4 linked regions of the Arabidopsis thaliana genome follow. The protein of the gene in region 4 interacts with the protein of the main gene of each other region in a pairwise test. Each region holds a gene or a part of one and is shown on either strand. Other genes may lie near its edges. The genes, in order: PTAC6, ckl4, AT3G12830 and MYB73.

Region 1 (9,105 bases), on a different chromosome or scaffold from region 4:
GGATGAAAGAAATGCCTATCAAGCAACTTAAGATTAGAACAGAGAGAGAGAGAGAGAACCTGTGATTCCATCAAAGAAACTTTGGCCTTTATCATATCAAGAACTTCATTGTTGATTTGCTTGAACCTAGTATCCTTTTCTCGGGTTGCAGAATCTCCCATATCAATCATGATTTTCAAGTTCCTCTGCAAAATAAGCATTACAAAGAGTAAGAAACCATATTTTGTTTGCTTGTACCTGAAACAGAAGAGTTTTTCACTGGAACATGAATGTCCTGAAGAAGACTAACTATTTAAACACCTTGACGAAAGTCCTAACAAGTCTGCTTTAGTAACAGAAAGACTAGGATACAGGAGACAGAAAATTTTACCTTAAGAGACCTAAGCTGGATTAGGTGACCAACAATGCTCATAAGACGGTTGATTAACTCTGTTGAATGTTTTCCCTGGCTTGCCTGCTGCCACAAAAGGCATATTAGTTTTTTCTCATACCGTTTCAAGTTTCAAAAAAATGAGAAGAACAAATGGAAAAGCTCTAGTACCGCAATCCTAGCAACTTTAGCAAGTTTCAATTTAACATCCCTGGGCAATCTTCTCTTCACTGCCTGGGATGAGGTATCAGCTTCTTGATTTTCAGTGATAGCAGGAGGCCTTGCTGCTTATAAATCATAAATTCTTGTAAGTTGAAAATCACCAAATGCTATTCTAGTTGGTCACACTTGAAAAATATTAAAACTCACATTCCACAACCACCTTCTCCAGTTCCCTTATGGCTTTCTCGAGGATTGAGGTTTTAGACTTCACATTAGAACCATCTTTTTTCTGAGTAGAGACAGGTTATTGCAGAATTATAAAGCAAGACTGATGTAAACTTTGTGGTAAGAAAAATGCATGGAAGCAAAGATTGACCAGAAAAATATCACAGAACCGAGATGAAAACTGGAGAAACAAAACTACGACCTTAGAATGCAACCAACTTACTGAGTGTATTTTATGTAATTGTAGACACAGTTGGAATGTACTTACAGACGCTTGACTAGATTGTCTGCTTCCCGTTACATTTGCCAGCTGATGCATACCATTGTTTTCTTTCTGACGGACTACTGTTACCTCTGCAAAGACATTGGGGGGAGATTTTCCTAGCAGGGACGTAGATTGTTGGTGTAAGCTTTTGTTGCTGTATTTCTGATGAAGGGCACTAGAGGATCCAGTTTCCCTTGACTTGTGACTTGTATCATTCCTAGACTGATGATTTGCTCTATCAGAATGCTTCACATCATCCAGAGGTACTGAAGTATTTGCATCTTGCGCTCCAGAAGGCAAAGGTGACTCCTGTGTTTTCCAGGACCCAGGAGCAGTTGATTGATCCTGGACTTCCCCATTCGTATAATCAGTTATCAGACTCAAACTCCGACATAAATTAGTATGATTTGCAATAAAAGATGTTACCTTTTTCCTAGCTGTTATAGACAACTTGGTGTGTTTATCGGATACGTCAACTGCATCACGACAGGGTTTTGCTGAATCTTTTCGTCGCCGTTTTTTGGGTTGCTGGTTAGATGTTGTTGAAGGTTCCCTATTGTGAAAATGAATCAGGGATTAGATAACTTGTAAATGAAATATAGCATGATTAGGCAAAATGAGAAAAACTCTATCCTATCGAAAGTGCAAAACCTACATCTATATGAACGTTTTTTAACCAGAAAAGTTGAAAAATGGACTTTACCCATACCAAACACCCTACAGACATTAGTTAAGGCAGTAGTAGCAAGACTGCCAACCATATTTTACCATTTGGAGAGACTACACATATCCAAATAGGAAGAAAAACTGAAAAGCAAGGTGATTTCATATGTTTATTTCAAAAACTTACGACATGCCTATTCTAAACATGATCTGAGTGATTGAAAAGTGACAAAGCCACCAAAGAGTTAAGAGACATCAGATAATGAAAAGAGGAAGATAACTCACATCCGCTCCAACTTGCCTCTATTTACATAAAATCCATCATGTTTAACTGTTGAATTATCAACTTCGAAATACTCATCCTGCAAGGAGTAGAGTAAAACAGAGATATGATTTCTCAGCTATCAAAAATATTTGAAAGATATCAACACCAACCAGTTCAGCATCATCTATAAATGAATCTTCAGTGTCATACTCATCATCATCAGGAGCACCGTCTAACTCTTCCCCATCACTGCTATCGTTCCCCTGAGATTTATTCTCTGAAGTAAGCATACACTTTTCAGAGATGTGTGAATGCAACAGTGCTATTGCATGGTATGCAAAAATGTTGTGAATGTGAAAAATCAAACATATAACAACCTACCAAGAAAAGTGTTTTAACAAAGAGTAGCATACCTTATAGAGCCTCTCTATCTTCTCAATAACAGCGTTGAAACGGTTAGAATGAGGTTGTTCATTCGTTTCAATCTCTACTGGATGCCCCTACATTATATACGAAAATACAGCTGTTGAAAATGATTTTAACCACCCATATTGTATGCATAAGAAGAATATATTGTGAGGAAGCTGCAAGCATATTATACCATCTTAAATGAAGATCCACTATTATATGCTTCATTCTCTTGCACTAATAGATATTAATAAAACTTTCTCTATATTCTTCACTATTACAGCTATAGTTTCCATTGCAACTATGTGAACCAAATTCCTTTCCAGATCAAGTATAATTGATGGCATATTCACATTGATAACGATGAAGTTAGCCTAATGTAGCTAGCAATTAGAAATGAAGCCAAAGATCATATATCAGGTTGTAGACTTTCTCCGTTTAAGGAGTTTGCTTATTGAACTCTAGTCACAGACGTCAGAGAGCAATAACAACAGAATTCCTCCTATACCATATCGATTTCAAGCATTTTCCCCAACAAATAAATCTGAAAATCTGCGAATTTAGTAAAGCTCCTTTATAAACCCTAACAAAGATTACAACTCCCCGAAACAAGACAAATGCTTACTCCAATAACAGCAAACGAAACCCACAAATGCCTACAAGTATATATATCCGATTACCAATTCCTACAACATCAAACTCACCGGTGCAATTCGAAACTCAAGGTTAGGGTTAGCATTAGGAGGCGGGTCGGGAACCGAAGCCGATAAACCATTGACCTTACCAGCATCCCTCATAAGCTTCTTCCACGAAACATACGTCGTATCCCCTGGCCGAAGCTCCACCTTGAGTAATTTCCGATCACCGGCCGTTAAAACCTTCGGCGACGCTCTCAACAATTCGCCGCCAATAGAACCACCACTCATCTCATTAACTTCCGACATTAATAATTCGGGTCGGGTCGGGTCGGATCAGTTTGATCCACTATATACTAACCCCTGGGTTCGAGACGGATTGATCTAAACAGCAATCAAGAGAGTGGAATCGATGAATCGATGTAGAGAAACTGAAACTGAGAAGAAAAAGTTGCGCGGGATACCAAAAATGACGCTCTTAATTATTTCCTAATTTATTTTTGTTGTTTTATTCACTAAAAAGGATTATTATTATATTATATAGTTTTTCTTTTTTTTTTAATTGTATTTTTCCTCGAAATATCTAATCCACAGATAGATAGAACACTCTGTGAGCTTTATCCGCTTCCAATGGCGTCTTCCGCCGCTTCTCCTTCCTTATCTCTACTCTCATTCACCTCGAAGCCACCTTATCCCTCCGGCTCTCAGCGGCTATTTGCGTCATTCAGAACGGACGGTCTTTTCGCGCCTTTAACACTGAAATCCCGACGCGGCCGTGGTATAGTCGTTAAAGTAGATGACGTCGATGCTGATGGAGGTGGAGCGGACGAGTATGATATGGATGATGAGGAGGTAGAGGAAGTTGACAACAAGAAGGACTATGATGTCGAGTATGACCCCTTGGCCGCCGCGATAGCCGCTGCAGGCGGTGGTGGTGATGGAGATATCGCTTTTGTTCAGAGTAAGAGTTTTATATCGACACAAGGATGGGATTCGGATATGGTGGTTGATTATCGGATAAACGAAGATGAGTTTCATAAACTCAGCTTAATGGACTGTGATTTCTTTATCAGAAAACCTCCTGATCCAGATAATGATGTTTATGATTTCAGAGAGGTGTGTGAATTCCCAGTGACTCTAATTGCTCATTTCTTCGATTTCTCTAGAGTCTGTGCTCATTCTTCAATTGTAAATTGTTTTGTGTGGGTGGCTGCAGATGTATGTTACTCCTCCGGATACAGATATTTACTCAATTCCGAGAGTTCTTGCACCGATGCCTCAAAAGGTCAGTCATTTATCCTTATCGGTTGCTGTTTTTGTAATGCCTATGCGTTGTTCTGAGACTTCCTTTTGTTCAGCAAGATAATTGCTTTTCATATTGTGCTTAATTGCTAATTGAACCCATATACCTCCACTCTACCTAGTAATTGTATCACTTAAGAAATCTTATCTGCACAGAGCTCTACCTAGTAATTGTATAACCCATATACCTTCACTCTACCTAGTAATTGTATAACTTAAGAAATCTTATCTACACAGAGCTGTACACGTTTGGTATTGTTTGGAACTTCTACTCACACTGATAGACTGGAATTTTGAACATATAATCTCAAAAAGTGCCGTAAATGGTCAGCATTTAGTATGATTAGAGAGTCAGAATGTAGCAGCTGGGTGTTTGTTTAGTCACTTTCCTTTCATTCTGTGGCCAGTTTTGTACTCTTTGCTGCTTCATGATTGCGTATGTTTTACATTGTAAGGTTTATTTATAAGCAAGTTGTTACAATGAGTGAGTGGTGCTAACAAGGGCTTGTTTAATGATGTTACAAGTACAGTATATTCGATGTGCAATGAGTGACTATGGATGTTACAATGTCACTGAACCACCTATTGATGCCCCCAGAGATCCACTGTACAAATCTGAGAGGGAGATATCCAAGGTACATATTGGACCATGTACATTGATGTTAAATCCATTAGGTCTTTGATGCAGGGAGTCTTGAGCAACATGTATTAACAAGGATGTACTTAGTTTTGATTTGACAACATTTTTGGAAACCACACCAGGAAATATGTTTTTTAAGCATTAAGGATGAGATCAACACGAAACTACTTAGTTTAGTAGTTACAGTTTCTGATACAAATTGTCTTCATCGTGTTTATTTTTTATGCAGGTTTTCTTGACAAAACATTACCGGAACAGAAGGACAAACGATCCAGAATTTGTGCTAGATCTTGAAGAGATATATGTTATTGATTCCAAGACAAAGTCAATCACCAGAGCCAGAGTTCTGGTATGACTAATTCTTATCTTCCAAGTTATTTAAGCATTATTAACAAAGTTCTCATTCCGAGTCTGAGCACAAACCTCAACCGTAGACCATAGCCAATTGGGTTTTTTGACATATTCTTATAGAATATTTTTCATGCTATAACACTAATGAAATGCTGGTTTATATTAGTGCTATTTATGCCTCTAGTTCTGAATCAGATATCTTGAGTTATGAGTTCTTTAAATACTGTGCATAGCTCAAAGCTATGAAGACAATCTTCTTTCCGATGTTAAGGTTTTAGATTGTTTCAGGTGACAGTTCCGGGAGGAAGAAAAAGGGATAGGAAGGATGACTTGCTTGTGATACGAGATAATGGAACCTCCTTTAAGATCATACACGTGGTACCTTTCCATTTCCAAATGACCAAATCCATTTCATCTGGCAGTCATTTGTATTCCTTCATCTAGCTTTACTCATCTTCACTCTATGTCTATATATTTCCATTCTTTCAGGGTGAAAGAGATGACCCAACAACGGTAATAGAAAGAGAAGAGTGGACCAAGACTAGAGAAGACATGGAGAAACATCTCAGGAAGCTACGAGACTTCAGTGTCTCAAATTGGTTCTAGAAGAACTCGAGAGACACCAAACGACAAGTCAGCATAACTTTCTTCCTGAGATGGAAAACGAGAGCAGATGATCTAAATCGATGATATGGTGGAGGGTATACAATTTTGGTGACCTCAGGTACTGCACTAGCAGCAGAGATGGATGTGTTATTAGATGAATATGGGCCTCTAGAAAAAAGTGTGTAGATGCAATAGTTTGATGGACTAACATTCAATGACTAGAGAAGCTAGCTTATTTGCAAGTTTTGAGGTGTTTAATTCAAGTTTTCAATTGATGATTATGATGGCTTGTATTATTCTTGTGATGAGATATTTTCATATTCAAGATTGGAACAAAGTGTTTGTATTTGAGAAATTGGGATGGTGTTGACTGTTGTTGAGTGGACTAGTTAGAACTTGTAGCCGGCGTGTCGTTTTAGTTATACGAAGCTACTAAAAACGACAGGTAGTCTGTTATTCTAAACTTTTTGATGTAATTAATGATGACATCAGGAAAAGACACGTGTACGGTATCATGTTCGGTCGATTGGATTTTCACGTGAGTGGGATTACAAATGTCAAAGTCGCCGACAGAGCAGTCATGTTGTGTGGTTGGTTCCATTGGCCCATTCTGTGACCACCGAACATTAACTTCCCTATTCAGTTTTTTAATACAAATATCTTTATTTATTGCCACACTTGAAAAATTACATGAATCACTTAGAATGACACGTAAAACAAAATAAATGCACCAACAGTTCGGTGATATGGAATTCGTTAGGTATATAAGAAATTAAGAATAGTTGTAAAACACGATTGTGTTCAATATTATGGAATGAAAATTGCGATAGAATGGTCAGAACGATCGATTTGACATATGCCAAACCAACAAGGTAGAGAAGGAAATGATCAAATCTTAAAACAATTCAATTGAGTCGAAGAAACAAAAACATGTGCACGATAAAATGAATTGCACGATAAAATAAAGAAGATTGACGTGAGAAAGAATAGTCAAATGGAATAAAAATAACGATAAGGTATGTGCATCAACCGTTGAATTTGTAAGTAAGTATGGTTTTGGTGGGCTACATTTCTAATAAGCATCTTTGATTTGTCAATCTACCTATTAAAATACATACACAATGGACAAGGAATGATTCATATAAAAACAAAGGAATAAAATCACATAATTATGATAATTTGTTATCTCATTGCCGGAACCTCATTTATGGTACTTTTATACATGGCACAACATTCTATTAATCGATAACGGTGGACCATATTCCCCGTATTTAATACGTAGATTTCTTCTTCTACTGTTTGGTATGGTACCAATCTCTTAAGTTAATTATGTAACATAAATTCAGATAAAAGAAAATGTTTGTGTTGCATATATTTTTTTTTTGTATAAAATAATCTACAATAGGGAATAAATAAAGTTAATTTCATGAATGTATCTGAAATATTTTTAAATTAATTAAAATGAGCAAAAAAAAGAAAAGATATATCTATATATATTTTTTATAATTTGTTATTTGTTAGGTTGATAATTAATGAGAGAGTGTACTGTGAAGACTAAATATTAAATTATGTATTTTATTTATCTAAATGGCAACGAAATGAAAATTCTCATATGTCTGCTCCTCCATTCTTACTCTTCTCTCTTTCTCAGAAGCTGCAAAACCAGAGAGTGAGAGAGAATAGAGATTCACTTTTGTGAGCGTTGCGATGATTTTGTGCCTCGTGGAATCATCACACTACAACGTATTCACCTGAAATTCAGACAAAACAGTTTGAGGAAACTGGGAAGTGATAAGATAAGAGAGTGATAGAGAGAGAGATGACGGAAAACGGCGTCGTTACAGGAGGAGGCCATACTGTTATGGTGGGCGTAAAGTTCGATGAGTCGAGCAATGAGCTACTTGATTGGGCTTTGGTTAAGGTTGCTGAACCGGGTGATACTGTAATCGCTCTTCATGTACTCGGCAATGGTAACACTTTTTTGTTTCTCTGTATTAAAGCTACGATTTTTGGAAATGGGTTTCCATGTTTACTCTCTCTTATTGGATTTGTGTAGAGATCGTTGACCGAGCAGACAACTCTTCTCTCGTCTCCATTGTTAAAAACTTTGATTCTGTTCTTGAAGTTTATGAAGGTTTCTGCAAATTGAAACAGGTATGCTTATTAAAGTGGAAAACTTTCATGCTCTATTCTCTCTGCTCTAGCTGATGATGGTTGAATTGCTTTTAATAGTTGGAATTGAAGCTAAAATTATCCCGGGGTTCTTCTACTCGAAAGATTCTAGTTAAAGAAGCAAAAATGTGTTCTGCGTCCAAAGTTGTAGTTGGGATCTCCAGACGTTTCCATACAATTCATTCATCTGTCTCCGTGGCTAAGTACTTAGCTAGGAAAGTAGCAAAAGATTGCTGGGTTCTGGCTGTTGACAATGGAAAAGTCATGTTTCAGAAAGATGGTTCCTCATCGATCATTCATCACTCTAAAGGTTTGGCCTTTCTCTATAAGTTTCTTTTGTATGTGATGATTTCTGTGTCTGTATTAGGGTTTTGAACTCTTCTTCTTTCTTGGGCATTGGTTTGTAATAGGTAAAAGTGATGCTCGTAGGAACACTTTGTCTAGTTTCTTTCAGATGCCTGTCACATTGAGAAAGAATACCAAAGTAGTAAACCATTCTGAGGTGGAAGAGGAAGAGGCAGAGGAAGATCATTCCAATGGTCAGAGTCTTCGGCGGTCTTTAGTGTATGCATGCCTTGGGAATTGCTCGGTTCGTGATATGAATTCCTTGCCTACGCCTGGAAATTTATCTCGATCGTCTAGCTGTAATGGTGATCAAGATGATAATGCTGATTTGCACAAGGCAATGGCACTTGTTCCTGCAAAATTTCCAGAAGATTTGACCCCATTCATTACAATGCTGGTAAAAGAACTGCCTGAATTTAGACCAGGTTGGCCTTTGCTTTGTCGTGTAGCTTCTTCAGATGTATTAGCTTCTGCTCCGAGAAGTTCTTCGTTCCGAAAGATACCAGTTGTGCAGTGGGTGCTGAAGCTGCCCGCTAGGACCAATTCTGTTGTTGGAAGCTCAGACACAAAGCAGATTGGTTTTGATTCTTCTGAATCTGAAGAAAATGATAAGTTGTCTAGCTCAAACGTTGAAAGGCAAGCAATTGTTCCTGATGAATCTATGATCGTGAAATGTTCTCTTGATCATAGCTCAGG
Region 2 (9,688 bases), 3.3 Mb from region 4:
CTCATATTATTGGATATAAGGCCATGGAGTTGTTTATACATTCAAAGCAGTTAAGAGAAATAATATATAGGTCATTTGATATGATTTGGGGTATCAGATTTTGATATCAAGATGTTTCTATGGTCAATAGACCAGTCATAAAGTATTGTCCATGCATGACTCCATATATAGTACTAATTTGGAGTACAAAGAAATATCATTAATTAGAATCTGCATGACGGGAACGGCTAATACTAGATCGTAGTGTGGATATTCGTATAATACAAGAATAAAAAACTATATACGTAAAGGTTTCGATTGGTAACTCGGGGTTTTGGGTAATCGCGTCTGCTTACCTCACTTTTGTAAACTTTCTTATTGTCCATTTCATCGCCTCCTCTATTGAATATCCTTAATAGTTAGTTCTTTAAACTTCATGTAACGGCAAATACTTGTAAATAGAGCTGACCCTCTTATGTATACATTAAGAAAAAAACTAAGACAAAAGTTACTTTCGGATAAATAAAAAAGTAAGCCATATGCTTTTATATGATTATATGTTGTAAGAAGAGCCAACAATGTTACGACATCATCGATAAAATGATGTTGATTGATTGCCTTTGTGATTAAGATTAAATTTAATTGTCATGTAAGAATATAATAATTGGTTGGCCTCTTCGGTCTCTTTTGGATTGTGGTAAGCGATACAATAATTTTGACTGATGGTGATTGGTGGCGTTGATCTAATTATCACAAGGAATGAAAATGAAACTAAAGGTTTTGAATATATAATTATGATTTCTTAACAAGATTAACAAAAACGCGATCAACATGACCTTTTACTCATTATCAAACTTTTTCTCGTACAATGTTTGTCTATTTACCATTGATCCAGATTTATTGTGAATATAATATACAAGAATATTTCAACACCCACCGAAAGTTATTCTTGACTGATCACTGGATTTCCTTGCTTAAATCATTAAATAAAAAAACCTTAAAACACGTTTTAATGATGTCTTGCACTTTTAGAACGAACTTTATAAACTAATCTAAATGGAGAATCGTTGTTTACAATGTTTCACCACTTCATGAGTGTCCAATCTCTGTTATGTGAACGAAAACAAACCAAATTAAATATAATCTATCTAAAAGTAAAACCAAAATGTATCAAAATTTATTTTTTGGTTAAGCATGATTTATTAAATTTTTTTCATGAAATCCTAAAACAATGTAACGGATTTTTTTTATCTAAGCCCTATGCAGTATGCAACGAGACGAAAATACCTGATTAAAAATATGGAAATCGTAAGGAACAATAGAGTAATAAAACAGATTGATGACAAACGAAGTTACTATTGGTAAAATTTCTGATTTGGAAGAGGAGAAGTTGACAAGTTCATCGACCCCATTTATTTGTGGAGTCTTCCCCACGTATATTCCTCGGCCTCTACCACAACCGCGTGAGCCAGCTAACAGTGTCCATCTTCTTATATTTTAGTTTTTTTTTTTTTTTCTATCTAATATTTATTTATCAAACACATGTTGGTGATTGGAAACTAAGAAACATACATATTCATAGTACCTTTCCAGGATAGCATTTTCTTTATATTAAAGAAGTTAGTTCTTTAATTGTTATGTTGTCTAATTCATGCATACAAAGTTCATTAGATGCACGTCAATTGTCAAAACTCTATACTTTTTGGACTACGTCAAAATTTCGATTTCTTAGAAGTTATATATAAAGAAAGCCTTACTGACAAACAAATGGTGATCGAATAGAGTTCCAATCCAAAACATTCCAAACACAAATCAAATTCGTAAGATGGCGGGTCTTCAAGCGAAGACGTTAATGTTCGTTCTGGCAGCTGCCTTAGCGACTCTTGGTCGCACATTTGTGGAGGCAGACTTCAGTAAGAATTTTATTGTTACATGGGGTAAAGATCACATGTTCATGAATGGTACCAACCTTCGACTTGTCCTAGACAAATCTGCAGGTATATAGTAATCTTATAACACAATAACTTTAAAATCAGTCCATTTAATTTTAGTCTATTATTTCATGAGAAACTTGATAGATAAACATGTATAACTGTTTTTATGTTTTTGTTTGTTTTTGCAGGATCTGCTATTAAATCAAAGGTGGCTCATTTGTTTGGAAGCGTAGAAATGCTCATCAAACTTGTGCCAGGGAATTCTGCTGGAACCGTTGCAGCCTATTACGTAAAATTTTCTTTTGAACTCGATCGATAGAATTACAAAAAAAATAAAAAAAAATAGAATCAATACGCAATTCTTTTATATATAGAAAAATTAGATTAATGTTTTCAGATTTTTCTTTGTAGTTATCGTCTACGGGAAGTACACACGATGAGATAGACTTCGAGTTCCTAGGAAATGCGACTGGTCAGCCGTACACGATCCACACCAACTTATATGCTCAAGGGAAAGGAAACCGCGAACAACAATTCCGGCCATGGTTCAACCCGACCAATGGTTTCCACAACTATACCATCCATTGGAACCCATCCGAAGTTGTGTAAGTAATTAACTTATGGCTATGGCGGTTTCTTAAGTACTTTATAAAAACTCCAAACAAATGCTAAGAAATGGTACTTTCTATCAATGAAATACCACATCAAAAAAACTTAAGTAAGATTAAATGTTACTTAGATAGTTTAGTTTGTTACTGTAAAACAACATTAAAGTACAAACACTTCATGATGAATTTTTCTTTTAGTTCCTTAATGTTTTCGAACCTTCAAACCAAAAAAACTTTAGGAATCTCAAACGATTATATGTTTTTATTTCCTTTCTATAAATAAACGTGTCGCACACCATGTTGTATATCTTATATAGGTGGTTCGTCGATGGAACTCCGATCAGAGTTTTTAGAAACTACGAAAGTGAAGGAATCGCATACCCGAACAAGCAAGGTATGAAAGTGTTTGCGAGTCTATGGAACGCAGAAGACTGGGCAACACAAGGAGGTCGAGTGAAGACTAACTGGACGCTAGCACCATTTGTGGCCGAGGGTCGTAGGTACAAGGCAAGAGCTTGTTTGTGGAAGGGATCAGTCAGCATCAAGCAATGTGTAGATCCAACTATACGGTCTAATTGGTGGACATCACCATCATTTAGTCAGCTCACTGCTTCGCAGCTGACGAAGATGCAAAAGATAAGAGATGGTTTCATGATCTATGATTATTGCAAGGACACTAACAGATTTAAAGGTGTTATGCCTCCGGAATGCTCGAAGAAGCAATTCTAATTCAAGTTTCCGGCCAGCGGGCGGAACGAGGAGAGGCTCCGGCAATCATAGCACCGCGGTCGAGGTTAATGGGGACGGACTGTAAATTCGTTTTTCATTATTTTTTTTAATAATTTATTTTTCTGAATTGTTTTTGTGAGGATTTTTGTGTGTCTTTGATTCATTGATAACTCGAATGAGCAATCATGATGAAGAAGAAGAAGTTTTTTTTTTTCCATTTTTTCTTTGTTAAAATCCTATACAAAAAAAAACAAATTCAAAAGCTAAAACCCTAGTAAAAAGAGACAAAATCCAATACAAAATTATCCCCAAAATTATCCATATTTAGACACATTGCGTTGACTTTAGAACTAGTGGATTAGAAACTCCACCGGTCCTACGTGGCAACTAAATTTCAGTCCACGTCACCGACACACAAATTTTCTTAGCCTTACTATACCATACAATTTACGTTAATGCCCCTATTGTCTCATCTATTCGCAAATTTCAACTCTCAAATTCAACGAAGTAAAAAAGCCCTAAATTGATATCTCTATCCCTTGCGCATGATCCAGATTCGGTTGTGATCGGAGCTGCCATGGAACGTATCATCGGCGGCAAGTACAAGCTCGGACGGAAGATTGGCGGTGGTTCCTTTGGAGAGATTTTCCTAGGTGTGTTCTCGTTGATTCTCGAGTTTTGTTCTTCTTCTTTGGTTTGAAATTGACGTACCTTGTTTGTTGATTTCGCAGCTACGCACATCGATACCTTCGAGATTGTAGCTGTTAAGATCGTAAGTTTCAATTGAATCAGCTATTAAACGAATCTACTCTGGGAATTTTGTATCATGTTCATTGTTTCGTGTGGTTCTTTGAATTGATTAACTCTAAATTTATCAGTCAAGCTCCTTGAAATGGTACTTTTTAGCTGACAATTTGTCTTTAACTCAGATCATTTGGATTGTTTTGCAGGAGAACAGTAAAACAAAACATCCTCAGCTTCTCTATGAAGCTAAGCTATATAGAACTCTTGAAGGAGGAAGTATGTTTCTCATTCCTATCTTTTCCCATTCTGTCGTTGTTGGTCATTGGAGGGATTGATTATCAGTACAATGCTCATTTTGCAGGTGGAATTCCGCGCATAAGATGGTTTGGAGTTGATGGAACAGAGAATGCTTTAGTGATGGATTTGCTCGGTCCAAGTCTCGAAGATCTTTTCGTCTACTGTGGGAGAAAATTTTCACCAAAGACGGTCTTGATGTTGGCTGATCAAATGGTATGGCATGAGTTTTAATCACATTTATTGCGTCTGGTTCTGTTTAAATACTAATCATTTCTCTTGAGTTATACATTTATCATCTAATGTGCTTATGATTTTCTTATTCCGATTTTACAGCTAACTAGAATAGAATATGTACATTCCAAAGGATATCTGCATAGAGATATAAAACCAGATAACTTTCTCATGGGCCTAGGCCGCAAAGCGAATCAGGTTTATCTAATTGACTTTGGACTGGCCAAAAGATATCGTGATGCCAACACCAACCGCCACATCCCTTATAGGTATTTGTGGCCATGGTTCATTATATTGTGTCTACCATCTGGAGGTGGTAAATTATCTTATCTGTTATAAGTTTTTAAGGTCACATTATACAACTTATTACCTTTTATTTGGTTGTATTCAGGGAAAACAAGAATTTAACAGGAACTGCACGATATGCAAGTTGCAATACACATCTTGGTATTGGTAAGGAATGCTGCCACTTTTTTCTCCCCTTTGTGAAGTAAAGTTTTTGCTCACATATTTCGATTTCTCTTTCGCAGAGCAAGGTAGACGGGATGACCTAGAGTCTCTTGGATATGTGCTTCTGTACTTCTTAAGAGGAAGGTGTGTTGACTTTTTGACTTGAAAGAACCTAGTTAACATTGTGTTTTTGGCAGGGTATTGTTTTTCCTTGTTTGAGATTTACTTAACCGTTTTCTTGCTTTACATTTTGTTCCTATTTTAATGAACCTCCTTTTCTAGCCTTCCATGGCAGGGTCTTAAGGCTGTTGACAAGAAGCAAAAGTATGACAAAATTTGTGAGAAGAAGATATCAACTCCTATTGAGGTCTATTTCCCTCTACTGTGTGAGTGAATTGTTTTTTGTTAATCCTCATTCAACTGAATAATATCCCATCCTTTGTAGGTTCTATGCAAAAGCCACCCCGTGGAGTTTGCTTCATATTTTCATTATTGCCACACACTGACATTTGATCAACGCCCTGATTATGGATTCTTGAAGCGGCTTTTTCGTGATTTATTCTCACGGGAAGGTACTTTGAGAAAGACATCCCTCCATCATTTTTATAATCCTCTCTGCTAGCATCAGTTATCTACCTAGCTCACTTAAACGTTTTCTTCTTTGCAGGATATGAGTTTGACTATATATATGACTGGACTATTATAAAGTATCAGCAATCACAGAAAACTAGAAGTCAGTCTCAGGTATAGTTTATCAATACCATTTGTTATTTTTTTTTCTCCAGGTGTATGCATATTTTGTCTTGTTCATAGAGAAGATTTCCTGGGGAGAAGTTTTACTTGGTTTTGCTATTTTTTAGTTTTGGTGCTAAATATAGATATGCCTGTCTTCCTAACAATAAACTGTCATGCTGCAGGCCGTTCCTGGGTCTAGTAATGCTCGTGCAATACCAATGGACACAAGCAATCATCGAGGTCAGCTCGAGTTATAAATTTTAATTGTGTCACTTTCTGATTAATTTTGTAATAGTATATGATGTGTTTTTTGTTTTCTCTCGACTTTCACACTGGACTCAACTGGCATAGAGTGTTTGGCTGATTTAGTTTCCCGTTGCAACTGTTTATTTCAATATCTTGATGCTAACTCTCCGTTTGGCAGGAGGAACTAAGATTTCACATGAAGCCCAAGTCTCTGACCGTGTCAGACCGGCTAATGCCAGTGGTCCAAGCCCACAGATTAATACCGCTGTAGGGAGGAGTCTGGGTTTTGATCAAGTCCACAAGAATGTACGTGCTTATTCATTTGCCTCTTCCAAATAAATGTTGTATCCTGCAACCCTCCCCCTTGTGTTAGCATCTCATGCCTGCATCTGTGTTGCTTCAGAGTTCTGCATGGTTCTCTGCTTAAAGCTTTTACCTGTTTTGCATGGTCAATTGTCATCAACGAGCTCTATATTGTGATATGAACTACATATAGCATAAATGATTAAAACACGATACTGATCATCACGAAATATGCTCTTGACCATTATTTTACTGAAAACCCATTGCAGATGAACATGCCATCATCCACTTCATTATCTCCTGCGGGTACCTCAAAAAGAAATGTCAGACCCGAAACCTCAAATTCTGGGTTTGGGAGCGGGAATAAAACCGGCGGTTGGACTTCACCATTCATGTCACCGGGGAAATGATGCAAAAAAAGTTGGAGTATATCATTCATCTGATCTGCTGAGCAAGATTATGTGTGCCTTTGGGTCTAAACTGTGATTTCTGCAGTGAAAAGCTCTAGACTGAGGTTGAAGATCTGAATGGAGTTTTTCCATGAACAGCTTACTGTTTGACAAAAGGCATGAAGATTATGTTTGCTTTCCTTCAAGATTCTCACAAATGACTGACTTCAACCTTTGTATAAAATCTTGCAACCGGGCGTGTAATTTGGTTCTTGTGATTCATTCTCCCAAGTTTTCTTCTATAAAACTTTGTTCGTATTTCTGTACGTAGTTCCCTGTGTTGGGGCATAACCTGGGTTTGCTGTGTCATCAACATTGTTTGCAGAAAATCAAGAGCAAAGCATGAGCAGCTTCAGCAGAGATGCCTTCAAAGGCTTGAGTCAAGAGTTGCTTGTGGCAGGGACATGTCACCATCAAGCTAATGTGCAGCTGACGAGAACGTAAAAGGATAAGCTATGGCTAGCTTCTGGAATGCTCCGAGAAACACTTCCCCCTTTTTTTTTCTCTGAATTTCCTATTCAGTTTAATGGTATTCTGTGTTTGATTTTTCTTACTCGATTTTGTGCATTGAAAAAAATTATATCAAAAAGCTTGACTTGATCCAAACATGCATTTTCAATTGCTATTATTAAAAAAAAAAAACGTATAAAATTGTAGTCTCAATATTGAAATACAAACACCTAGAATTGATCGATTTGGTAGAGAACTAGTTAGTGGATTAAATTTGGGTTGGCTGATTTTCGAGCCATAAACTATTTCGATTCTCAGCTTTCACACCCGGACTTTTGGGCCTTTAAATTTCCACCATCAACTTTCATATTCCCAAAATTACATCATCTATTTTTGGATTCATGCTTAAACATACATTTCCAATTGAACCATTCATTTAACCGGGATTAACCACAAATCCGCGTTTACTGTACCGCGATTGCGATTAACCCAACTAATACCCAGACCCGTTAAGAAAACGACGTCGTTTTCATTTCGTTTAACTCATCAAAAAGAGAAAGAAAACGACGTCGTTTTCATTCTTCTTCTTTAACTCTCAAATCGATTTAGTCGTTCTTCTTTAATCTCGACACTGTGAAATTAGGGTTCTTGAGAGAGAAAGACAAAAGGGGATTTGGGGTTTTCTTCTTCGGTTCGAATTTTTGGGTCTCGATTTGGGTTTCGAATAGGGAGAAATGAAGAATTGGTGGGAGGAAAGATTGATTTACCAAAGCGATCCAGATGACCCCGATTTCGAACCTCCAGAGAGTGACATTGAAGCCGACGATGGAAGTGATAGTGGTGATAGCGGAGTCGAGGAGGACGAAGCCACCAGAATCGAGGGAGAGGACGTCGGGATAGATGGAGACAGAGCTTCTGATGGAGAGGAAAATAGAGAAGACGATGGTGACATAGCGTCTGATGGAGACGTCAATCTAGAAGACGATGGAGACAGAGATGAAAGTCAAAAGAAGAGGACTACCAAATCGATTTGAGAGTTAAAGAAGAAGAATGAAAACGACGTCGTTTTCTTAACGGGTCTGGGTATTAGTCGGGTTAATCACAATCGCGGTACAGTAAACGCGGATTTGTGGTTAATCCCGGTTAAATGAATGGTTCAATTGAAAATGTATGTTTAATCATGAATTCGAAAGTAGATGATGTAATTTTGAGGAATATGAAAATTGATGGTGGAAATTTAAGGGCCCAAAAATCCGGGAGTGAAAACTAAGAATCGAAATAGTTTATGACTCGAAAATCAGCCAACCCATTAAATTTTCGAACCTTCATCATTTTGCAGACCCCAAAAACGGAAATCATCAAATCATCCACCGTGCCAGCGTGACATTACAAAATCACGTAAATACCCTCGTGTTTGTTTATAAGGTAAAAAAAGATTGGCGGACCCAAAATGGTGCAGTAGTTAGGTGTACAAATTTTTTTTTGAAGGATCACTACTACGGCTCAAACAAGCCTGGGTCCATGTCACTACCACCGATGTCAGTCAAACAAAAATAATAATATATGTTTTTAAGTTCCTCTAATTTCAATCTTCTAAACAACAACCCTAAATCCTTATCTCTATCCTTGCGCTTGATCCAGATTCGGTTCTGATTGGAGCTGCCATGGAACGCATCATCGGCGGCAAGTACAAGCTCGGACGGAAGATCGGCGGTGGTTCGTTCGGAGAGATTTTTCTAGGTTTTGTGTTCTCCTCTGTTCTTGTCCCTTTGGTTTTCCGAGTTTGCTTTTTTATTTGAAATTGACGCTCTTCTCTTCTGTTTGTTGTTTTCGCAGCTACGCACGTCGATACCTTCGAGATCGTAGCTGTTAAGATCGTAAGTCCCAGCTCAATTTGCCTTGAGACGAATTGAATCCATCCAATCTGGAGATTTGATTTGGATCTGCTATGTCTCTTAATTGATTTTGTTTGAATTGCTTTACTCTAAAATTGAGCAAGGTTTTAAACTCGGTGCTTTTTAGCTGCAATATATTCTTCAAGCTAACACTTGTTTTTAATTCAATCATTTTCTCTTGCAGGAGAACAGTAAAACAAAGCATCCTCAACTTCTCTATGAAGCTAAGCTATATAGAATTCTTGAAGGAGGAAGTATGATTCTCTTTCCTCTCTTTTCTCAGTTGTTGGACATTGGAGGGATTCATTAGCAGTACAATACTAATTTTTATGTTATGTGTCAGGTGGAATTCCGCGCATAAAATGGTTTGGAGTTGATGGAACAGAGAATGCTTTAGTGATGGATTTGCTCGGTCCAAGTCTCGAAGATCTTTTCGTCTACTGTGGGAGGAAATTCTCACCAAAGACAGTCTTGATGTTGGCTGATCAAATGGTATGGCATGACTTTCAACTATTCATTAGGCTATTTATAATATCTGTTGACTTATACATTGATTATCTAATGTGCTTCCGATTTTCTTATCCCGCTGTTACAGCTAACAAGAATAGAATTTGTACATTCGAAAGGATATCTGCATA
Region 3 (7,094 bases), on a different chromosome or scaffold from region 4:
TCTTTAAAAATTTATGTTTAAACAAAATGAGATTTGTCGTTTTAACGCAAATACTTGGTGGAAAACAAATACATGATCTTTTCATCTGAAAACGTTTTAGGCATACACTTCAAATGTTATTCGTGTGGATTTATGTGATAGAAGAGTCGCTCACTCATATGTGGAATAGTCGGGATTCCTGCATTTTTCTACCAAAAAACATTAACGATGTTTAAAATATTATTTCATTTCTTCTATTATGTGCCACGGAGCAAAATAGTATAATACCATATATATTGAACAACAATGATAAGTATAATCACAATGTGATCCCAAAGAAATTGAATAGAGCTTAAAGAATGAATCAATCATGAGGTATTCCGTGTCCTCCGAAGCAACAATCGAATTCATACTTGAAATGAGCTGCCTAAGTACTCATATATACTTACTACTATATTTCCATGCAATTCCAATATACGAATGTTCCTTAATAAAATAAAAGTACATATTATAAAGTTGTCATTTGGACCTCATTTCAAGAGAATCTTTACAACAAATGACTCTTTTTTTATGATAGTTCTTGACCATACACATGTATGTTTCCTGTTGAGAGGTGTACATGATAATGAAAAGAATAAATGAAAGGAGGACTATTTTTTTTTCTAGTCATGAAGAAAAACTCGATTTCACACTTGGACAGTCGTCATAATTAATGTACATTAACTAAAGTAAACAAAATAAAATACTTGTTTCCATCAAACCAACTATATATAATCAAAGTTCTTTCACTCATTTTTTTTTCTAAGGAAACTTAAGATATGTATTTAGATCCATCCATCTACATGGCTCTCGATGACTTTGACTACATTAATTATATATAAGTATACGTACTATAGATCTAATATCTAAATGTGTATACACCGACTTTGAAAATTTATGGTTGCATTCGGATCAGTCGTCTTATTAATTGACAACAAAACAAAAGAAACAGGAAAACTAATGATTAACTGTGAATTGCTACAAATATATAAGTAGGCATGTGGTGCTGCAGGTGATGCAACATGGGAAATCATATAAATGGACGAAAATTCCCAACTCTATTATTAACTTTCCTCAGATTGGTCACACAACTAATGATTAATTTGTGATTAAACTATGAAGACTATACATATGGAAACATATTATCATTGAGAATCCATAGATGTGGGACAGTTAAACCTCCACATGTTGCTCACTCGGGTCGCATATATAAACATGTGGTGGTGTTTCTATATAAGTAAAGCTGATTAAACATAAAACGAAGGTTACCTAAAAATATGTCTAAACCATTATGTGTAATGTGTGAATTAGATAAGTGCCAACGGTGCAAATAAAGTGAGATCCCATATATAATGATAAAAGTGTTAGTATTTGCCCTTTTAAAACCAACTCATTTGTCTACTAGCTGAAGATTCACCATGTTAACCGAATTCATAGCTCATTCAATTATGGTTAGATAGACACTGGAACGCCAGAAACAAATGTTAGTTTCAATATTTGTGGTCTATATAATACTGTATTGGGCTTGGAATCAAGCTTGTGTTTTGGATCTGAAAGAATGTAACTACAGATGCAAACCCACATGGTTTCACTAGTTTTTTTTTTATGAATTTCAATTATTTTTTTCTATATTTTATTATGAATCTTTGGCATTACTTACCAAAAGATATACTCTCTTCTAGAGAAGCTAAAGGTAACAGATAACTACTTGAGTATCGGGTTAAAAATATTATAGTAACGGCCACAGATTACAGTTTATCATATCCCCTTGATGTATCGCATTGACGGATTTACCCTGCCGATAATCTCGGTGAAACATCAAAATCCTCTTTTTGTTTAACTTGAACAAAAAAAACTGTAATCATGTCAAATAAACCCAGAAATTAAAGAGATCCAAACTGATGCAAATTTTCCATATAAAAAAACTTCACAAGAATTTCAAACCGATTTTTAAAACCGGCGAAAAAATTAGAAAATTTGCAAACAACAAAGAGAAAGAAAATCCCTAAATGCGTCTCCTCTTCCACTTTTGGATCCTGGAAAAATTATATACCTATTTACATCGACACGACGACGAAGTATGATGACTCAGTAGTATCTGAACAAAAACAACCAGATCTAGAAGAAAAAAAAACTTCTCTAACTACCAAGATTCCTTCCAATAAAAGCTTCTTCTTCAAATAGTCCCGTCACCGATTAGATCCTGAACATCAATCGGTACCGGAAGTCCAAGACGAAGCGATTCCATGATTCGTTCGAAGACAAGGACATGGCAAGGGATTTGTAGAACTCCTTTTTGCTCGTAACCATACTCTTGAGCAGATCGGTTTAGTAAACCGATGAAAACCGGATGGTTAAGTAGCTCCGCGCTAACGACGAACCTCTCCATCTCGTCACCTACGTAGACCGGTACGTGTCCTTCGGGAACAGAGGAGGTTTGCTTCTTTGAGCGGCGAGTCACCGAAGAACGGAGGAAGGATTCGGAACGGCGGCTAGGTCGCTGTGAATCGGAACGGAGGAGACTGTATTGAGCGGAATCAGCGACGCGAGAGAGACGACGGATTAGTTGCTTCATCGTCTTCGTGTTGTGACTTTGAGAGAGAGAAGAGAGAAACTTTTGGTGATTGGTACTGAAAACGGATGTTTGAGAATTCGAGAGAGAATCAATGAGAATTTTGTGAAGGAGAGAGTGAGGGAAGGTTTTGGATTTTATATTGAGTCGAGGGTATTTTGGGGAATGTGTATTTGATAAAGTAGGTACGGGGAAGGAGTACTTGCCAGGTACACACACTTACTCGTAATTTTCCACTGACTTTGAAAAATATATAAAATCCTAAAAATATATAATATGATAAAATATCATATTCATTTGATGTAAATCTTTGATTATTTTTTTAAGATTTTTTTATTCTCTTAGATAACTGTTTGGATTTCCATTAACAATATATATCCCCGCATTATCATAATCTTTTTTGAGTATAATGATATTATTGTATTTTCTGATCATAATTGGAATTAAAATAGCAATTAATTTACCTTGGTTATTCTACCAATTTATTGAAAGATTAGATATAGTTTTTTTCTTGTTAGTAATAGATACACGAGGTTCATGAGCAACCCAAAATATATCTTAATGATGTTGTAAAATTAATTACAAGTAGTTATCAGGAAAATAATAACATTATTCATGGTAAACTGATTATAATTTACAAGAGGCCAATATAATGTTCAAAATACAATTTTCATTCAAGCAAATTAAAAAAAAGGGTTATATATCTTTGTTTAGATTAATCCATATACTTTGTAATCCTATATCATGTACATGTAGTTAATATCATTTCATCTAATCATCTATTATCCTACTTCAACTAAGACTGGATATCCAATTCCACTTTGGAAAATTTTTACATATCCAATTTTTACATTTCTTTCTTTAATCCTACTCAAAATATAAGGTGTAGAGAAAGATAGATCCCCTCGTTTTTTTTTATCAAAAGATCCCCTCGTTAATAATTATATTTTCAATATATTAAATAATAAGCTAGAAATTAAATATGGATGAAGTGTGGAAAAGTTAGTTAATTTTGTATATGGAAATAGTTAATTGCATACAAATTTATATTGTAAGATAGCGTATATAGCCATTTAAATATATGGTTTCATACTCGTAACAATGTTCATGGTTTTTATTGAATATGTGATCTATCATATGGCCTAAGTCTTAAATCCCCATAGGAATAAATGATGCCTTCAGAATCTGGTTACAAAGTCTACTATATAGGCTGGATTTTAAATTTCATAAATCAAATACAATTATACAAACTAAATATTCTGGATGGAAATATTACAAAACAAAATGTGGAGCTTCAACTTCTGTTGACCCCAAGAAAATGACATAAAAGGCTTCTAGAATTTGGACCAAGTGATTAGATATGAACCATTTGTGTAAATATTATGAATTCTTTTTGAACCAGTACGTATAGATTATTCAAATAGTCCATACTCACCCTCAACGACTTAAAAGACTTCAATATTCATTTAGCTTTCTTCTGGTCATATTCATATCCTCACGTAACCATCATTGAAAACTAAAATAAGATGTAAGTTACTTGTAAGTTTCCATTATGTAATATATTTTTCAAAGATTAATCACTGTACTGTCTATTATTTTAGATCATAACTAATTAAAAAAATAGCCAAAAAAAACTTATTAAATTTTAACAAATTTTCGTTTTCATTGTGTAAACATAAAAATCTATCACCATCATGACAATATAAACACAAGCCATTCAAGGATATAAGTGATATAATTAATTCATATACTACAAAATATATAGCTGCATGCTCGATTGAATCAAACTTCATAAGTGACGATTCGCTATACCTATTAATGTTGATAATAGATTACTTGTCTTTGCCACAAAACAAAAAGATTACTTGTAAGTTGTGACCTCTAGAAGAAGCATCCGACTATGCAAAATGCACTCAAGCCATGAATCATGACAAATTAATCATAGGTTTATGATCAGGTGACTTTATAAATTGATATTGCCCAAATCTATTAATACACATTCAGTTTTGTGACTTGATTATATACATCTTTTCCCATTTTATAATTTCTTTGAAAAAAATGGCGCGTGAAATTGTAATATACAGCGCGTAGATATCATGAAGGACCATCAGCATGTGTGGGTTAGATAGAGAAAGAAAAAGTAAAGCAGAACTGTTGAAGGATCATTCTTCATTCTGTAAAGGTTAAACTTTAAAGACAAAGATATGATGATGTGACCTAATTTTCTCTGGTTTTCGAAAGTGTCTGCCCCCTAACTTATCTTGGGGGTTACAACTTTAGTCCCCTTTAGCCTCTTAACTTTATTAATTATGTATACATACATATATATATAACTATATTCATATATGGATTAATCAAAATAAAGTGGTCTCGTACTAATAGCCATCTATGTTATTATATACTGCCATGCATCTTTTGTAGGTTTCATCCAATTTAGTAATTTTGAATTCCTACTTGGTCTCAAGTTTTACCATAACTAGAATATCAACTCGATGATATTTATTAGATACTAGCTAATCCATAAACTAGTGTGATTTGTTACATAATTGATTTAAAAGGAAACAATACAAGCAACTTAAAGAAGCAACTAGTTAAGGTGGGGATGGAGTGTTTACAAAATTGTAACGAACTCTCAAGTGGTTAATTCCCTTACGACTCATTTTCTCAAATTTCCGTGGAACTCCTCTCTTATATGATTCAAAACACATTTATGATTTTATTGATTTCTTGTGGAATTGGAAGTGTTCAACCCTCACGTAGTCGGCAATTTTCAATATCCTCACTCATTATACAAATTTGGATAAAAGGAACCGTGTCACTCAAATGATCATAAACATATACACATTCCAATCGGAAACGACTTATGAAGTATTTAGTAACTATATATTACCCTTATCCATAGTATAAAATCCACACCTTTATTTATTTGAAGGCTTGCTAGAATCAATATCTAAAACACCTAATTTCTGCGTGTTGCAATACATATAAAAATCATGCAAAGAATCGGTTACAATTCTAATGGTCGTTAGTCATTGATATTTGATTATAATAATGAAGTAATAGAATTCAAGGAATATCAAATAATGAAACATAAACAGCAATATATATAAAAAAACATATGCAAATATTAAACTATTATGCAAAAAAACACAGATAGAGAAGAGAATATTCCTCCAACGGCAAAGGTTATTAAGAGCCATTACACTTCAATCATTGAGAAACACGTCAATAGCTTGAAACTTCACTCTGATTGGGTTTAGCTGTAACGCGTTACGCGCTATTGCATCATTTAATAAATATGAAGATAAAGTATGTCACCGCTTCCATATACATTAACATTTGCTCTTTTCAAATGCAACTACTTAGTGCTCTCTCTGTTTTAGTTTTATATAAGTTGTAATTTAAAGTTTTACACATATATTAAAAAATTACAAAAATCTCATTTAATTTATCGCTTTTATATAAAAATATCATTTACTATAACTGATTCAATTAATAAAAAATTATATAATTAAATGTTATTAATTAAAAAAGTATTAAATATATTTATTATTTGGGATCAATTATGGGATTAACACTTTAAAGTGTATCCTTTTGTGATTTTAGGAACATTTCAATGTACTACCAAAAACAGGTAATTATACGTGATCGTATTTTACAATCTCACCCCTTTCAGCTTACACTCAATTATTTGATTTCTCTTTTATTTATTTTTCTCCTCAATAGTTGAAGATGCTTCAACAACTTGGCCATTATTTGCTACCGCAGAAGATTTTCTCGCCGTCGCAACCACCACCTCCGTGGAACGCCTTCTGCTCCGCCGCTGCCATTGACGGAGCCAACCATCTCCCTTTCATGTTTCATCTTTTAAAATCTCCTTACCCTGTTATCTCTCCCTCTGATTGTTGAATTCCACATTTTCTCACTTCCCCATCTTACCTCCGGTCCTCTCTTCTCCTTTCAGATTTGCTCTCTGTTCCCTAATTGTTTGGGTTCCCTAATTACAATCCTTATGGTATATATTTTTGTTAATGCTTACCTCAATATATGAGTGACCTCGATCTCACTTTTCCCTTGGGTTCCCTGTTTTCAGATCTTAGGGTTTAGATTTTACATTTTCATCCTCACCTAAAATCATCTTCTCGTTAATGTTTATTTGCTTTTGATGTTCTCTGTTACGCTGAAACACAGCTTCTTCTCTCGAGGGCAAAATCGTCTTTCAAGCTTGTAGGAAGTGTCCAATATCATAAGCCCATTTCGATTGTACCTTATCTCCAATTTGTAGCCCAAATTGTGCCTAAAACAGTAATAGCCCCTTATTATTTGCTTAAAAAATTAAAAACAATACTAAAAGTAACTGCGGCTAGTTTTAGAATTTGCTAATCGTATAGTCATAATTCATGGAACATTGGATTAAAAATAAAAAGTAAGATAATAAAAAGTGGAATGTGTGTAATGTGTAGTCACGTGAAAGAAGTTTTGGGGAAATTAATAAATATAAAAT
Region 4 (7,423 bases):
TACCATAAATCATTGTTGATGTGACAAACTATTCTTGTTGTTTAATAAGATATATCACCATTTGGACAATTGATAAGAGTGGAAAATTGATTGGCTTACTTTCATTGCTTGTTAATGATGCAGCATGTAGAGGATCTGTTTACAGAGCATTGGGACTTATGGTGGCCGCATCACCATGTGCTCTGGCCGTAGCTCCATTGGCTTATGCTACTGCTATTAGTTCCTGTGCAAGAAAGGTATTGTTCAAGTACTCTACGTGATCACCAAGTGTATGTTAGCTTTCTTGGCGTTGTGATGTTTTGCAGAATTGCACTTTTGAGCATTGGTTTGTATATGTTCTCTTGTAGCAAATTAAGCTTTATAAGCTAAATAATCTTATGTGCATCAAATGTCAATGGTGAGGAATGAATGGTGCATATGCAACAACATCGTCTTATCTATGAAGACCACCATATTTCAACTAACTATTTGATATCATTTTCCTTTTGTCCAAATCCAGTTGAAAACATGGTTTATTTTCTTTTTCCTTTTTTTTTGCTATGTAAAGGTAGTATCTTCACGTGTAAGTGTGTAACCCCACCGTGTGTAACTATTATAGGGAATATTGCTGAAAGGTGCACAGGTTCTAGATGCTCTTGCGTCTTGCCATACTATTGCTTTTGACAAAACTGGTACCTTAACAACCGGCGGCCTTACTTGTAAAGCAATTGAACCCATTTATGGGCACCAAGGAGGAACTAATTCAAGTGTAATAACTTGCTGCATTCCAAATTGTGAAAAAGAAGCTCTTGCAGTTGCGGCTGCCATGGAGAAGGGCACCACGCATCCTATTGGAAGGTATTGCTTGTTTAGCATCAATTACTAGTATAAAACTTAATTACCACAAACTCTAAAACCATGCAAGTTGTGACCTATGTGCATCCCATCATCACATAGTTAGTACTGTGGCGCGTCTATAACTCATGGGAAATAAGTTATCTTGTTGGATGGTACATTCATTTCAGGAGATATGTTGACGTAAAGAATTTTAGTCCTACATCTAGAACTTATTCTTATTTCTAGTTCATTACCACAATCGGATGAAAGGAAGGGGAAAAAGCAAATTTGAACGCTATGAAGCTCTCTATCTCTGGTTTTTACACTGGTTTTTACACTGGTTTATTAGTTTAAATGATGCTTGGTCTGGTAAGAGATTGAGACTGAAGAGTACTATAGGTCTTTTCTGCTGTTTCTGACACATTTCATCTTGCTGCAGAGCTGTTGTAGATCACAGTGTGGGTAAGGATCTTCCTTCTATTTTTGTTGAAAGCTTCGAATATTTTCCTGGTAGAGGCCTTACTGCTACTGTCAACGGTGTTAAGGTGAGACTCAGTTATTTACTAGATTCTTATATATATCCATTTATCTACCAGATTTTATAGTGTATAGCTGTGGGTGATGTGTGTACATCTCTGGCTTTCATTCTTAATATATATGATGTTGTCTCTCACCACATTTTTTGGTTTTGTAATAGACAGTAGCTGAAGAGAGTAGATTACGAAAAGCATCACTTGGTTCTATAGAGTTCATTACCTCACTTTTCAAATCTGAAGATGAATCTAAACAGATCAAGGATGCTGTAAACGCGTCTTCGTACGGAAAGGACTTCGTTCATGCTGCTCTTTCTGTTGATCAAAAGGTATACTACGACTACTTCTTTAGCTGGTCTAAAAACCTCTTTCCTACTTCACAGTCTGTGATTTTCATCTCTCATCTGACCATTTATTAGTCCATAAAAACCTCTGTAACACTGAAATTTATGAGCCTTGCAACTAAATTTTGTCAGGTAACATTGATTCACCTCGAAGATCAGCCTCGTCCAGGGGTGTCAGGAGTTATAGCAGAACTTAAAAGCTGGGCCAGACTCCGAGTAATGATGTTAACTGGGGACCATGATTCAAGTGCTTGGAGAGTTGCAAACGCAGTGGGTATTACCGAAGTCTACTGCAACCTAAAGCCAGAGGATAAGTTAAATCATGTAAAGAACATTGCTCGGGAAGCAGGTGATCATTCATTACTCTCGCCATAGTTCCCAATCAAAAACATCTATCAAGAGACTGAGAATTTAGAGTTGTGATTTTTGCTAGGTGGAGGTTTAATTATGGTAGGAGAAGGGATTAATGATGCTCCAGCTCTAGCAGCTGCAACAGTGGGGATTGTTCTTGCTCAACGAGCGAGTGCCACTGCGATTGCCGTTGCTGACATCTTACTGCTTCGAGACAACATCACCGGTGTTCCGTTCTGTGTCGCTAAATCCCGCCAGACAACATCATTGGTAGATAAAACATAAAAGTCTTTGTTCTTAACCAGTTTCAGATGTTAGATTGCCTGATTTAACAAGAATGTATCATGTTGCAGGTCAAGCAAAACGTAGCTCTTGCATTAACATCGATATTCTTGGCCGCTCTTCCTTCAGTTTTAGGGTTTGTCCCATTGTGGTTGACGGTACGTAAGCTAATACCCACTACAAGCTTTTGTTATCCATCATTTACCCGAGAGACAAAACCGCTAACCTGCATTTTTGTGATCATAGGTACTTCTACATGAAGGCGGGACTCTTCTGGTGTGTCTAAACTCAGTACGTGGTCTAAACGATCCATCATGGTCGTGGAAACAAGACATAGTTCATCTAATCAACAAGTTACGCTCACAAGAACCAACCAGTAGCAGCAGCAACAGTTTAAGCTCTGCACATTAGGGGGTAACTTGCTGTTCTTTGTCTAATTCTGCAAAAGCAAGACACTGTGAATTGTATGATCGCTTATGAAACATCAAAATCGTATATATGTTTCGTTTCGACTGGTTTCTTCAGGTCATATATTATGTCACGTGAGATTATATTTACTACTTTTAGTTTATGTTTGTTTCCTCGTAACAAACCCATAGAATAAAAGTTTGAGAAGTGTTTTTGACTTTTCTTCTTCAAGTTTGTGTAAATTGTTAATAAATGATCTTGCTTTGCTTTTAATTGAATCACGAAAGAAGATCATATGATGATGATAACAAAACATTTTTTGATTTCGCTTCCTCCTTTCGTCGTCTCTACTACTGGCTCTATACATGAAAAGCCTGAAACTTTTATTTTCCCGAGAAACAGAGGGAAAACTTGTTCTTATCACTCTACTCCATCTTCCCAATTCCGATTTGGTTCACTATAAACTCTCTAAACCCAACACGACGGCTGTTTACACTTTGTGGCATACACGAACCGCCACCTCCGCCGCCAGAACTACTACCACCGACGTTTCCTCGCTGTAAATCCGCCATGTAACTCCTCACCTCCGTCCTTATCATCTCCTGAACCACCGTCATGAACTCACCACCGAATCCACCAGATATCCCCTTCGCTTCTTCTTCTTCTACTTCCACTTGCTCTTCCTTTCTAACCGGAAACAGCTCCGCCGTATAACCACCGTCCATAACCGTATTCTGGTTAAGTTGAACCGGCTCGTTGACTCGAACCGTCTCGTCAGTCCAAGGAAGAGACAAACTAAGATAAGTTGGAGGATCTTCACCAGACGATGACGCTGTAACCTCAGATCTAACCGTTGGTTTAAACACGTGTGCACCACCACTAGATTGCTCGCTGACGTCAGATCCCGATGGACTTCCGGGACTCATATACAAGCCAGTCGAGACACCACCACCACCACTCGCCGTACGTTTCAACGGTTGCTCTTCTCCTAAATTACCATCATACCCTCCATTACCACCAAAATCACAACTTTGCCCTTCGACGCTGCATTTTCGCTTCAGCGTCGAGTTCCAATGATTCTTGATAGCGTTATCGGTTCGTCCATTGAGAAGACGAGAGATCGTAGCCCACTTGTTACCAAACCGAGCGTGAGCTCGAATAATCGTCTCGTCTTCTTCCTGCGAAAAAGCACGGTGCTCTACCTCCGGAGATAGCTGGTTACACCACCGGAGACGACAAGATTTGCCGGAACGTCCAGGGATTGATTTGCTAATCAAAGACCAGTTCCTCGGACCATGTTTCTGAACAAGCCTCTGCAACAGATCATCTTCTTCTGGACTCCATGGACCTTTAATCCTCTCCATATTCTTACGGGTCGGGTTTGACATCGCCGGATCTTTTTATCGGATTGTTCTTTTTTTTTCTTCTAACGCGTCCTCTTTTTTTTTGGTCGTTACAGTTTTTTTTTTTGTGTGTGTTGGGAAGAAAAGCTTTTTGGTTGAAGAGGATAAGAGCAAGAAGAGAGAGTATTTATACGAGAAAGGAGTGGGCAAAAGGGTCACCGGTTCAACCGGTAATTTTTTCTTATCGATTTAACAGAAACGATATTAAACTAGTTAAACTTTACAGTGTAATATTATCCTTAACTGCATAAAAATATCTAACGTATTATTAAAAACAAATTTTATAGAAGGAAACAAATAAAACCGTTTTCTCTATTAATAAAGAGATTTGCTCAGTGTTAAACGGATAACTATGGTAGTTCAAACAATAAAAAATAAAAACTGATAATTATGGTCGTTACTCGTTAAACAATTTTGACTCATTCAGTCAAAAAAATATTGGTGAATTTAATTAATTTAAACGTATGATTAACCATTGTTTATATGTTCATAATTATGTGTCCATAAATGGGCTACGTACAAACCTCGTTAACGTTTGGGTATAAAAAAATTGACAACATTTACGTGTTTGTATGATTGGAACAGATATTTATTTTAAACCAAAAATAAAACACGTTGGCGATTGGAAAAGGCGTTTTGGGAGATAAGCGTTTGTGTGAGGTTAACATCGAGCGTGGAGAGCAGAGAATCTTCCAGGAAAAACGGTTGGGGACTTGGGATACAGCTGTATATTAACACGTGTCAAGTAAGTATATGTACTTTGAGTTTGAGATTTGCTTTTTTTTTTTCAATTGTTCTTTCTTTTTTTTGAGAGATTTGTTTTCTTTTGAAGAGAGAGTACGCTCGTACACAGGAGCGTTTCTTCCACTCTCTGTTTTACAGGTGGAGCGTTTTTACCCAATCATTTCATTTTCCATCTAAAGTGACACTCACAAAAAAAAATCGTTAACTTCTACGTTTTATTCTCTCTATATTTATATCCTTTTTAAAATCATTCTCTTTTTGAATATTTGTTAACTTTTTCGTATGTTTTTTGAAGTTTTATTTTGTAAAATTTTGATACTATTGTAGAAGAAAATGAAATCAAGAATGGCAATGTATATCAAAAAAAATATTAAAGGCAAAATTTTGTAAAAACTAAGAATCTGCTGGAAACATACATATTGCTTTTAAAAATAGTAAGTGCAACAAAAAGACTACATAGAAGTCAATAAAAAATAGCCGAAAGTTTTTGTGTTATGAACTAAAGTTTTTTGATAAGTTATTTTCAATATTTTACACTGTTTGTTACATGTCATTGTCTTCTGTGTGTTGATTGATACGTGTGGTTATTATATAAACGAACGATTGGTCCAATATCCAAATTTTGGTTAAGATGTAAATTGTGTCGGTGAAAATAATGTAGACATTGTAGTCGTTGACAGCGAGTTCTAGGCTTCTAGCTTACATGCAACAAGTGAATGTAATAGTTTTGCAATGTTTGGTCATTGAATTTCTAACAAATATGTACGTGTAAGATACTAGATTAAATATGAATGTTGCAAGTAATAGATCGTTTATATTTGTCAAGTGATAAATTGTCGTATAGAAGAACAACTAAACCGAAGAATTACTAATCCGGTTCAACTTAGTTAACCAGAAATTGAAAGGGTAAACGCCGGTGAAGCGCGTGTAGGATGATGATATATATACAGTGAAGCAAACTTTTCAGGATATATATGTAACTTTTATTTATGTTCTTTGTAAAACAAAAGTGTGTGTAATTGGCAGAAAGAGAGAACAAAACCTAACAAACTGAAATACAACAAATATCTAGATATTCATAAATATCTAAAACCAAGTTCCACTTCATGCAACTTTGCATATATACACACGAAGTTCATAGATTAATTACACAAAATAATGAAAATGAATAACTTAAATACCCTCCAAATTTTGTTTTCATATAGTTTATAAAAAAACTAAACCCTAATGCTCAAAACAATTTATATCTTATGCATTAAAATTAGGGATGTAAACAATAATTGAAGATTATTGTAAAAGAATGTATGATATAATTAAAAATGAAAATTGAAAATACAACAAATATCTAAACCAAGTTCACTTCATATGACTTTGCATATACACATGAGATTCATAGATTATTTACACCAAGATAATGAAAAATGAACAATTTCAGTACCCTCCAAATTTTGTTTTCGTTTAGTTTATATAAAAACTCAACCCTTTGCGCAAAACAGTTGATATCGTATGCACTAAAACATATTAAACTTATGAAGGTAAACCAACAATAATTGAAGTAATATGGTAAAAGAATGTATGATATAATAGAAAAATGAAAAAAGAGCACCAACAAAAAGAAATAAGGAAAACAAGAAGAAGAAGATAAGGATGAAGTTAACGGTTAGGTATGAGGTTTTGGTTCGATTCGGTGACTTTTTGACTGAGGAAGCCAGCCTGTATACCATTATTAGTATTTTTTTTATTTATTTGAAAAATTGTTATCATTATTATGTTTTGGATATTTTGCCGATCTCAAAAATGAAATACTCTAAAAAGCAAAGAAGAAAAAAAGCAAAACAAAAAGAAAAAGATAGGCCAAAAAGAGACAGTTGCTCACGTGGCGCAAAACGACAAGGATAGATCGGAAGGCTGATCGTTACCACTTTAATTTTCTGATATTATAAAAAAAACAAAAACAGGCTGTAAATCTCTGCCTCCCTTTAACGGCCACTCTCCCACCTGCCGGTCACCCACCCACCCTTTTTTATATATTCTTCACTAATTAGTAATTTACCATTCTTAACTCCTTTATAACTTGTGTTTGGAAAACTAAAAATACTTTGGTTTAGTGTTTAGTTAAGAAATTTAGAATTTTTATCATTTGTAAAAAACACAAATTTGACTTTTGACTTTTTTATTTTTTTGAGTTATACACTTAGCTTTTTGAAGGAAATTAAAGAGAACAAAAATATATTTTGGTGTTTTTCAAAATATGTGAGAAAATAAAACTTAAATATTGGAGGGTCGTATTGTCTGAGTGGAATAAATCGTAGTCAACTATATGTATGTTTTTAAGTAAGCGAAGAATTGTATTCGAATAATATATTAAATGCATTGTCCTTATTTTTGTTTCTATTAATGGATTATGTAACCAACCAACGGTTCAGAAGTCATTTTTAACCATAAATTCATTTTTTTATGTTGTGGTCAATTTGATATGCATTCACACATATATCATCAACTACCAACGTTAGAAAAACCGTAGATACTAGTACTAAAACAC

What was found.
Region 1: the proteins of MYB73 (region 4) and PTAC6 interact in binary tests that used the Arabidopsis thaliana proteins (3 or more experiments, as listed by UniProt).
Region 2: the proteins of MYB73 (region 4) and ckl4 interact in binary tests that used the Arabidopsis thaliana proteins (3 or more experiments, as listed by UniProt).
Region 3: the proteins of MYB73 (region 4) and AT3G12830 interact in binary tests that used the Arabidopsis thaliana proteins (3 or more experiments, as listed by UniProt).

What each region holds. Positions count from the first base shown.
Region 1 is NC_003070.9:7,568,301-7,577,405, reverse strand, and holds PTAC6 (plastid transcriptionally active 6), read left to right. Parts: upstream 1-3,559; 5' UTR 3,560-3,623; coding exon 3,624-4,109; intron 4,110-4,209; coding exon 4,210-4,278; intron 4,279-4,825; coding exon 4,826-4,930; intron 4,931-5,164; coding exon 5,165-5,284; intron 5,285-5,574; coding exon 5,575-5,664; intron 5,665-5,775; coding exon 5,776-5,892; 3' UTR 5,893-6,010; exon of another isoform or gene 6,011-6,384; 3' UTR 6,385-6,561; downstream 6,562-9,105. Other genes in the region: AT1G21610 (wound-responsive family protein), read right to left, coding at 60-185, 371-457, 542-654, 740-821, 1,026-1,367, 1,449-1,575, 1,971-2,047, 2,121-2,213 and 2 more; AT1G21590 (kinase with adenine nucleotide alpha hydrolases-like domain-containing protein), read left to right, coding at 7,712-7,862, 7,949-8,046, 8,125-8,374, 8,475-9,105. UniProt on the Arabidopsis thaliana protein: Essential protein involved in plastid gene expression and in chloroplast biogenesis.
Region 2 is NC_003075.7:14,242,532-14,252,219, forward strand, and holds ckl4 (casein kinase I-like 4), read left to right. Parts: upstream 1-3,728; 5' UTR 3,729-3,827; coding exon 3,828-3,903; intron 3,904-3,981; coding exon 3,982-4,022; intron 4,023-4,200; coding exon 4,201-4,270; intron 4,271-4,355; coding exon 4,356-4,504; intron 4,505-4,624; coding exon 4,625-4,791; intron 4,792-4,913; coding exon 4,914-4,975; intron 4,976-5,052; coding exon 5,053-5,116; intron 5,117-5,254; coding exon 5,255-5,339; intron 5,340-5,417; coding exon 5,418-5,544; intron 5,545-5,639; coding exon 5,640-5,716; intron 5,717-5,889; coding exon 5,890-5,947; intron 5,948-6,131; coding exon 6,132-6,259; coding exon of another isoform or gene 6,260-6,292; exon of another isoform or gene 6,293-6,525; coding exon 6,526-6,666; 3' UTR 6,667-7,341; downstream 7,342-9,688. Other genes in the region: XTH26 (xyloglucan endotransglucosylase/hydrolase 26), read left to right, coding at 1,805-1,976, 2,102-2,202, 2,325-2,518, 2,839-3,250; AT4G28870 (mutator transposase MUDRA protein), read left to right, coding at 7,890-8,189; ckl3 (casein kinase I-like 3), read left to right, coding at 8,820-8,895, 8,992-9,032, 9,235-9,304, 9,394-9,542, 9,646-9,688.
Region 3 is NC_003074.8:4,076,923-4,084,016, forward strand, and holds AT3G12830 (SAUR-like auxin-responsive protein family), read right to left. Parts: upstream 2,706-7,094; 5' UTR 2,594-2,705; coding exon 2,195-2,593; 3' UTR 1,729-2,194; downstream 1-1,728. Other genes in the region: AT3G12833 (uncharacterized protein), read left to right, coding at 6,207-6,224, 6,317-6,499; AT3G12835 (uncharacterized protein), read right to left, coding at 6,343-6,447. UniProt on the Arabidopsis thaliana protein: Provide a mechanistic link between auxin and plasma membrane H(+)-ATPases (PM H(+)-ATPases, e.g.
Region 4 is NC_003075.7:17,537,301-17,544,723, reverse strand, and holds MYB73 (myb domain protein 73), read right to left. Parts: upstream 4,235-7,423; 5' UTR 4,123-4,234; coding exon 3,160-4,122; 3' UTR 2,925-3,159; downstream 1-2,924. Other genes in the region: HMA1 (heavy metal atpase 1), read left to right, coding at 124-236, 599-837, 1,256-1,361, 1,514-1,678, 1,826-2,042, 2,127-2,314, 2,398-2,484, 2,573-2,737. UniProt on the Arabidopsis thaliana protein: Transcription factor that functions in salt stress response. Acts as a negative regulator of NHX7/SOS1 and CBL4/SOS3 induction in response to salt stress. In response to auxin, activates the transcription of the auxin-responsive gene IAA19.